2 linked regions of the Sus scrofa genome follow. The protein of the gene in region 2 binds, or shares a complex with, the protein of the main gene of each other region. Links are inferred from orthologs where the notes say so. Each region holds a gene or a part of one and is shown on either strand. Other genes may lie near its edges. The genes, in order: TARDBP and ANXA11.

Evidence for each region.
Region 1: the proteins of ANXA11 (region 2) and TARDBP are in contact, whole or in part, in a cryo-EM structure (PDB 9FOR), measured with the Homo sapiens proteins. The link is inferred for Sus scrofa from reciprocal best matches to the Homo sapiens genes ANXA11 and TARDBP. Residues at the interface, in NP_001148.1 of Homo sapiens: Gly56, Met57, Ala59, Met61, Ser62, Gly63, Phe65, Asn69, Pro71, Asn72, Leu73; in NP_031401.1 of Homo sapiens: Ala328, Leu330, Ser332, Trp334, Gly335, Met337, Gly338, Met339, Ala341, Ser342, Gln343.

What each region holds. Positions count from the first base shown.
Region 1 is NC_010448.4:71,216,465-71,220,277, forward strand, and holds part of TARDBP (TAR DNA-binding protein 43), read left to right. Parts: intron 1-1,369; coding exon 1,370-1,533; intron 1,534-1,754; coding exon 1,755-1,895; intron 1,896-3,630; coding exon 3,631-3,801; intron 3,802-3,813. UniProt on the Homo sapiens protein: RNA-binding protein that is involved in various steps of RNA biogenesis and processing.
Region 2 is NC_010456.5:81,862,524-81,866,336, reverse strand, and holds part of ANXA11 (annexin A11), read right to left. Parts: intron 2,604-3,813; coding exon 2,494-2,603; intron 1,563-2,493; coding exon 1,176-1,562; intron 1-1,175. UniProt on the Homo sapiens protein: Binds specifically to calcyclin in a calcium-dependent manner. Required for midbody formation and completion of the terminal phase of cytokinesis.

The sequences.
Region 1 (3,813 bases), on a different chromosome or scaffold from region 2:
ACCCTGGTGGGAAATACTGATAATGGAGTGGGCTATGCGTTGTGTACCAGGGGTATGTGGGAAGTCTATACCTTCCTTAATTTTGCTGTGAACTTAATACTGCTACAAAAGTGTCTTTTTGTCTAAATGTCATCTAGTTCCTCTCTTCCTTTCCAAATTTTGGCCTTTTAAAATAACCTAAGGTTTTTCTTTTTATTACAAAATTAACACAAATTCATTGTTGAAAGTTTAGAAACAAAACAAGGAAAATTCGGAGTTCCCGTCATGGCCCCCTGGTTAACAAATTGGGCTAGGAACCGATCCCTGGCCTTGCTCAGTGGGTTAAGGATCCGGCATTGCCATGAGCTATGGTGTAGGTCGAAGACACGCCTCAGATCCTGAGTTGCCGTGGCTGTGGTGTAGGTTGTCTGCTACAGCTCCTATTAGACCCCTAGCCTGGACCCTCCATATGTCGTGGGTACAGCTCCAGAAAAAGACCAAAAGAAAAAAAAAAAACAAGGAAAATTGAAATCACCCTTAAATCCGCAAGCTAGAGATAAAAGTTGCTAATTTTTTTGGTAGATAGACTTCAAGTTATAGGTATTAAAATAATTAAGCAAGTATATTTAACAGATACACTGTTATTCACCTGTTTTTTCCCTTCCTTAATGTTTTTTGGGGGGTTTTGTTGGTTTTTGCTTTTTAGGGCTACACCTGCAGTGTATGGAAGTTTCCAGGGTAGGGGTCCAATCAGAACTGCAGCTGCTAGCCAACACCATAGCCATAGCAACGCGGGGTCCAAGCTGTGTCTGCCACCTACACCACAGCTCAGGGCAATGCCGGGATTGAACACGCATCCTCATGAATACCAGTCAGGTTCATAACCCACTGAGCCCCTTAATGTATTATTTAAAGCAGGAACTCCCCTTAATGTATTATTTAAAGTCAAGTGAAGTAACTGGTTGGTGGGGGTGGCTGGGAGGCTGTGCCCAAGGCACACGAAAGGTCCTCGGCCAGATACCAGACTCACTTGTGCCACAGCAGCGACCCAAGCCGCTAGAGTAGCAAAGCCAGATCCTAAACCCACTGCACCACAAGAGAACTAAAGTGAAGTAACTTTTGACACACCTTTTGAGAGGGAAGAACATACAGTCGTAGTCTTAAGCTATTATAAAAGCAGAGGAAGGAATCCCTGGACTTGTTCCAGAAGAGCATCTCAGCCACTTACTCAATCCCTTATTGTGTCTTGGAGAGCAAACATCACAGCCTAAAGTTTCCAGTGTCTTGTGCTCTAGAATGTTTTTGCTTCTCGTTCTCTAGGTGAAGGAAGTAATGTGTTTTAAGAAGGGTTAAATGAAAGTTCTAAAAGGTTTCTGCTGGTTTTGTTTAGATAACAAAAGAAAAATGGATGAAACAGATGCCTCATCAGCAGTGAAAGTGAAAAGAGCAGTCCAGAAAACATCTGATTTAATAGTGTTGGGTCTCCCATGGAAGACGACTGAACAGGATCTAAAAGAATATTTTAGCACCTTTGGAGAGGTTCTTATGGTTCAGGTAAACTTTGGTTTCATTTAAGAGTTTTTCATTTTCAGTAAATGAGCACAGAGGATTCTTATTGTTTTAGTGACACTGCTCTTTTTTATGTTCACTAGGGTATTATTAATATTTGTTGTATGTATATATAAGGAGTGATGAAGTTACAGTGTTTTTATGCATGTACTCTAGTTTGGTTATGTGTTATGTGTGGTTTTAGTAAATTTAAATGATTTTTCTAGGTCAAGAAAGATATTAAAACTGGTCATTCAAAAGGATTTGGCTTTGTTCGTTTTACGGAATATGAAACCCAGGTTAAAGTAATGTCACAGCGACATATGATAGATGGACGATGGTGTGACTGTAAACTTCCAAATTCTAAGGTACTTTCCTCTTTTTCTCTCTGCTTTGGCCTTTTTTTTCTGACAAACTTCCTTAGAAGACACTGTAAAATAAACCATTACAGTAGGAAAGTGTAGTAGCAGCGTGTGTCCTTAAAATCTTTTGCTTTGGACCTTAATGCATGCTGAATATTTTGTATGTTTGCAGTACTTAGTTTTTTGTGGTTTTTTTTCGTCTTTTTGCTATTTCTTGGGCCGCTCCCTCGGCATATGGAGGTTCCCAGGCTAGGGGTCCAATAGGAGCTATAGCCACCGGCCTACGCCAGAGCCACAGCAACGCGGGATCCGAGCCACGTCTGCAACCTACACCACAGCTCACGGCAACTCTGGATCGTTAACCCACTGAGCAAGGGCAGGGAGCGAACCCGCAACCTCATGGTTCCTAGTCGGATTCGTTAACCACTGCGCCACGATGGGAACTCCTGCAGTACTTAGTTTATTACCCCTCCAAACAAAAACCTTGTTTATTCTTCCTTTTTTTTTTTTTTTTTTTTTTGCTTTTTTTTTTAGGGCCGCACCCAAGGCACATGAAGTTCCCAGGCTAGAGGTCAAATCAGAGCTACAGCTGCTGGCCTACAATCTACACCACAGCTCACAGCAATGCCAGATCCTTAACCCACTGAGAGAGACCAGGGATCGAACTCACAACCTCATGGTTACTAGTTGGATTCATTAGCACCTGAACTGAGAAGGGAACGCCTCTCTTGTTACATTTTAATGAGTTAACAATTTCTTACATCCTTAACACAGTAAAACATGAAGACCATTAGATGATGGAGGATGATGTGTACAGAAGGATATATATATATATAACTGGTTTTCTATACAACAGAAATTGACAACATTGTAAATCAACTATAATTTTAAAAAGTTTTTTGTTAATGAAGACAATTAGGAGTTCCTGTCGTGACGCAGTGGTTAACGAATCTGACTAGGAACCATGAGGTTGCAGATTCGATCCCTGGCCTTGCTCAGTGGGTTAAGGATTCTGCGTTACTGTGGCTCTGGTGTAGGCCGGTGGCTACACCTCCGATTAGACCCCTAGCCTGAGAATCTCCATATACCATGGGAGCAGCTCTAAAAAAGGCAAAAAGAAAAAACAAAACAAAAAGAAGACAATTAGAATACATTAATCTTGTTGTCAAAGACTAACCTGTCCAAGCAAGCAAGACTGGCTTATTTGGAACATTATCATCTTTGGCAAGACATTCTCAGTCATTGACTTTCCTTAATCCAAATATACTGCATTGGAGTTCCCTTCGTGGTGCAGTGGAAATGAATCCAGCTAGGAACCATGAGGTTGCTGGTTTGATCCCTGGCCTCACTCAGTGGGTTAAGGATTCGGCGTTGCAGTGAGCTGTGGTGTAGGTTGCAGACACGGCTCCTATCCTGCTTTGCTGTGGCTCTGGCGTGGGCAGGCAACAACAGCTCTGATTAGACCCCTAGCCTGGGAACCTCCATACACCTCTGGTGCGGCCCTAAAAAGGACAAATGACAAAAAAAAACTTGCATCAACTTCAAGGTTTAGATTTTATTCTCCACTGAAGTCTTAAAAGTGCTAACGCAAAAAAAAAAAAAAAAAAAAAAAAAAAAAGACTATCTACTTTTTAATGACTCATCTAATATAAAAGCAATAGGTTTTGTAACATTCTCTAACATGATTTTTCGTTGCTCATAAAATGTTTGTGATGGTTTTTCTTCCTTCCACTTTGACCAGCAAAGCCCAGATGAGCCTTTGAGAAGCAGAAAGGTGTTTGTTGGGCGCTGTACAGAGGACATGACTGCTGATGAGCTGCAGCAGTTCTTTTGCCAGTACGGAGAAGTGGTAGATGTCTTCATTCCCAAACCATTCAGGGCTTTTGCCTTTGTTACATTTGCAGATGATCAGGTATTTTTCTCT
Region 2 (3,813 bases):
TTCTAAAAGCTGGGGTACCTGAAGGAGCCTGCAACCAGTGGCACAGGGGACTCGATGCTGAGTTGGCCTAAGGTGACTGTTACCTGTCGTCATGTCCTGGCACTGATGCCTGGCTCCTGTGGCTAAGAGCCCACCTAGAGCTAAGTCCTGATGCTGAAAATCTCCCCTCACCTGGGTCCTGATTAAGAATGATCCTCGGGAATAGGGGACCACCAGAGACACATCAGGGCTCCCCTAAGGGGCCTGGCCAGTCCACCTTCAATGCACATTAGGAAAAGGTGTTCCCTCCAGGATGCAGGTGTCCAGCCTAGCACACGCAGCCTCCTGGACTAGCTCTGGTTTCCGGGCCCCATTTTCTGGATCCCGTGACCTGCTCGCCTGCAGGACTTCTTCCTGACACAACAGCTGCACTCCAAGCAAACATGACTTTTCCTACCTAAACTGTCTCCTGGTGGATTATCTAGTACAAACTGGTTCTAAGAGTTAAGGAGTTAAGCTGAAAACAAAGATAAGCGGGAAGGCAGAGAGGGAGTATGACAAGCAAGGCAGAGGTTGGGGCGGGGGATGTGTGGGTGTGGGAAAGGGAGGGGAATGGACCCTCTGACTAAAAATAGTCATCAACCACATACTGCTAGCCCTGTGCTTGGCTGGTTTGGCCATGTAACCATGACAATGAATTCTAGGCTCTGTAAACATGAACTGCTCTCCAAAATGAGCCAAGAGCAGCCCTGAAAGAACTGCCAACAATCTTCCCTGCTCAAAGGAGCTGGTTTTAAGAATCCTCTGATACCAGTCTGAGAGAGCACATCCAGGGGACAGAAGACTAACAGCCCCTGGGCATAGACCTTGAGACCAGTTCTTACAAAGCACAGACCCAAGGCAATAAAAAACACAAGAGGAATGAAGAGTACTGGGGGCATTCAAACCCAAAGCTCATGGGGCCCATTTAACCACTGGGAAAAACCAGGCAACTGTGCCTAGGGCCTCAGCAATAAAACCGGGGTACAGGGAGTCTGTGAGAAAGTGACACTGAAAACCAGAGGTTACAGCTGGAGGACTGGGCCCTCCCCCATCCCCGCAACCTCCCCAGTCTTGCTGTCAGAGGACACTAGGCCACGTGTCTTGAGCCTTTGGAGCTAGGCCTGGACAGAGAATAGCATAGGGCTGGCACTCACCTGGGCTGGCGGCACAGCAGGGGTGACGGTCCCGGACCCCGAGTATCCTGGGTAGCTTGGCATCGGCTGCTGCCCGGGAGGTGGCATTGGCGACTGCCCAGCATAGGGCATGGGGGGCTGTCCAGGGTAGGCTCCCGGGGGCTGCTGCCCGGGGGGTGGCATGGGCTGGCCTGGCACAGGGGCCCCTGGGTATGGCGGATATGTAGGCATCCCAGAGGGTGGGTTTCCTCCTGGGGGCGGGTACATTCCATATGGAGGAACAGGCTGCTGGGCAGAGGGGGGCTGCCCAAACCCCCCTGGGGGGACCGGAGGATAACCACCCCCAGGGGCCCCTGGGTACAAGTTTGGCACATTGGCTCCTCCGAACGTCCCGGACATGTTGGCTGCCTGAAAGTCCACAAAGCAGAGCCTTAGACTGACAGCCTCTGAGAAACAAGGCTGCCCTCCGTCCATCTGCCCTTCCCCGCCCTGAGGGAGCCAGCAGCAGGTACCCGGGGCTACACTCTGCTCAAGGTGAGTCTGAGCACCACCAGCTTCTCAGCAAGGCCCACCCTGACCGCACACCTTGTCCTACATGCCCTCCAACTGCATCGCTGACCCTTTTACCTGCCCTTGTGGCCAAAGTACTCAGACTTCCTCTAATACCACATGGTTCCCTTATGCCATGTGTCTCTTCCCAGTGGATGGTAAGCACTCCAGGGCTGGGATTTTTCTACCCCCAGTGCCCAGAATGGGCCTGGCACAGATGAGGCCAAGTATTGGTTGCGTTTACAGTGAGCATGCATTTGTTTTTGGATTATAAAATATACTACTTTACAAGCAAATCAACAAAAGTATTATGTTTGCTTGTGCAACCAGGCACCCGCTTCCAGGCCCACTCAGAACAGTTATCCTCACATAAACATATATAACATGCAGGTGCATGTGGCCACTTTTACAGGGCATGTGCATGCAAGAGGTGCATACCCTTACCCCGCTCGTCCCTATGCTGAGCTCATATGGTGCGTGATGTATGTGCCCTGAAGGCACACCCCTACCCAATCCCCTAGAGCCGAAAGGGTCCTGGGAGACGATGTGGTCCAAAGCATTTCCCTGCCCTTCATTTTACAGATGGGAAAATCAAGACACAGTGAGAGCCCTGATGAAAACCTTTATGTCCTTAGATATAGCTCAATACATACCCTTGGGGACCACAGGTAATCTCTCTCTCTCTCCCTCTCTCACACACACAAACCCTCTGACACCATGGGAGCCAGCTTCATCCTTCAGGCCATGCTAGTGCAGCCCCAGGGAAGCCCGGCGGGAAGGCTGGACTCACCATTCCTGAGAGATAGTCCTGGTTGAACTGCCCTGCGTAGTTGGCCACATTATCCAGCCCAATGGGGGGCATGCTGGGTGGCGGGTAGGCAGCGCCTCCCCAGGCACCACCTGAAAGCAACAGCAAGCCGGTTAGCCCCAGAACGGCCCTCCAACAGGGAAAGGCAGAGACATCAGCTCCCAGGCAGCTGGGAGGGAAGGCCAAGCAGAGCCTCGGACGGCCCTGTATACCACACAGAAAATACTCAGCAAGGAAGTCTAACCCAATCCCCCTGGCAGAGCAAGAGAAGAGGGAACCTTCCTTGCCTTCTAGGGAGGAAGGAGGGGTTCAGCAAACCCTCCCAAACCCTCTGTGAAATTATTAAGCAGGTAGAGGGGCCAAGGGCAGACCTGCCCCCCTGGGCTCACCCTCGTGGAGCACAAGTACAGACAGATCTCTCTCGGGGACACTGTGCTGAGCCCAGGACAGCGGTGAGCTCAGGGAGCACTGACAGACCAGAGCGGGTGAGGGTGGGGGTCCTGCCCAGCTGGCTGTTTGCTAACATCGCAAGTCTGGAAGAGGCAGGGAGAAGCAAGATGACAGGATGGAAGGAGACGGGGCTCAGTCAGGGAAAACACCCATCCTTGTTAAGGGGATAGCAGGGGAACAGCAGCAAAAAGCCACACCTCTGAAACCAGTGGCACCTGGGTATGTGCTCTGGGGCAAGGCACTCAACCATCCTGGCTGTTTCCTCAGGTGAAGTGGGGATAGTTAGCGTTTGTCTCAAACTGTGATGAGGATTAAGTGAGTTAATGCTGGGCAGGGCTTAGCTGGGGGCCTGGTGAGCATTCATATGTTACAGTTGTCACTGTGACAAGCACAACAGCCAGCATCACCCTTCAGGCTGCTGGCCTGTTAGATGCAGCCCCATCCATGGCAGTGGAAAGAACCTGAGGGCCTCAGGTTTGGCTTCAGCTCCAGGACATTCAAGACAGAACCTTCCCAGAATCACCTGTCAGCTCCCTCTCTTGCTGCTCAAGTGGTGACAGAGGTGGCAGTAGTAGGACAAAGATGGCTGACTGGCTAGTGCCACCTCCCTGCTACTGACGCACAGCAGCAGCTGCAGCAGTAACATCTGACTCTTAGTGACTCCCTCTACTTCCTCCCTCTGCAGGGGATCCTCTGCTGCTGGGAAACCAGGCACCTTGAGAACAGGGCAGGAAAGGTGACAAGGGGCAACTGTCACTGAGCAGTGCTGCAGAGGACACTGTGCCAGCAGTTTTACCTGGCTATCTCATTCTTATCTGGGCCAGCCCAGGGATGGAGACCCTTGAAGCCATT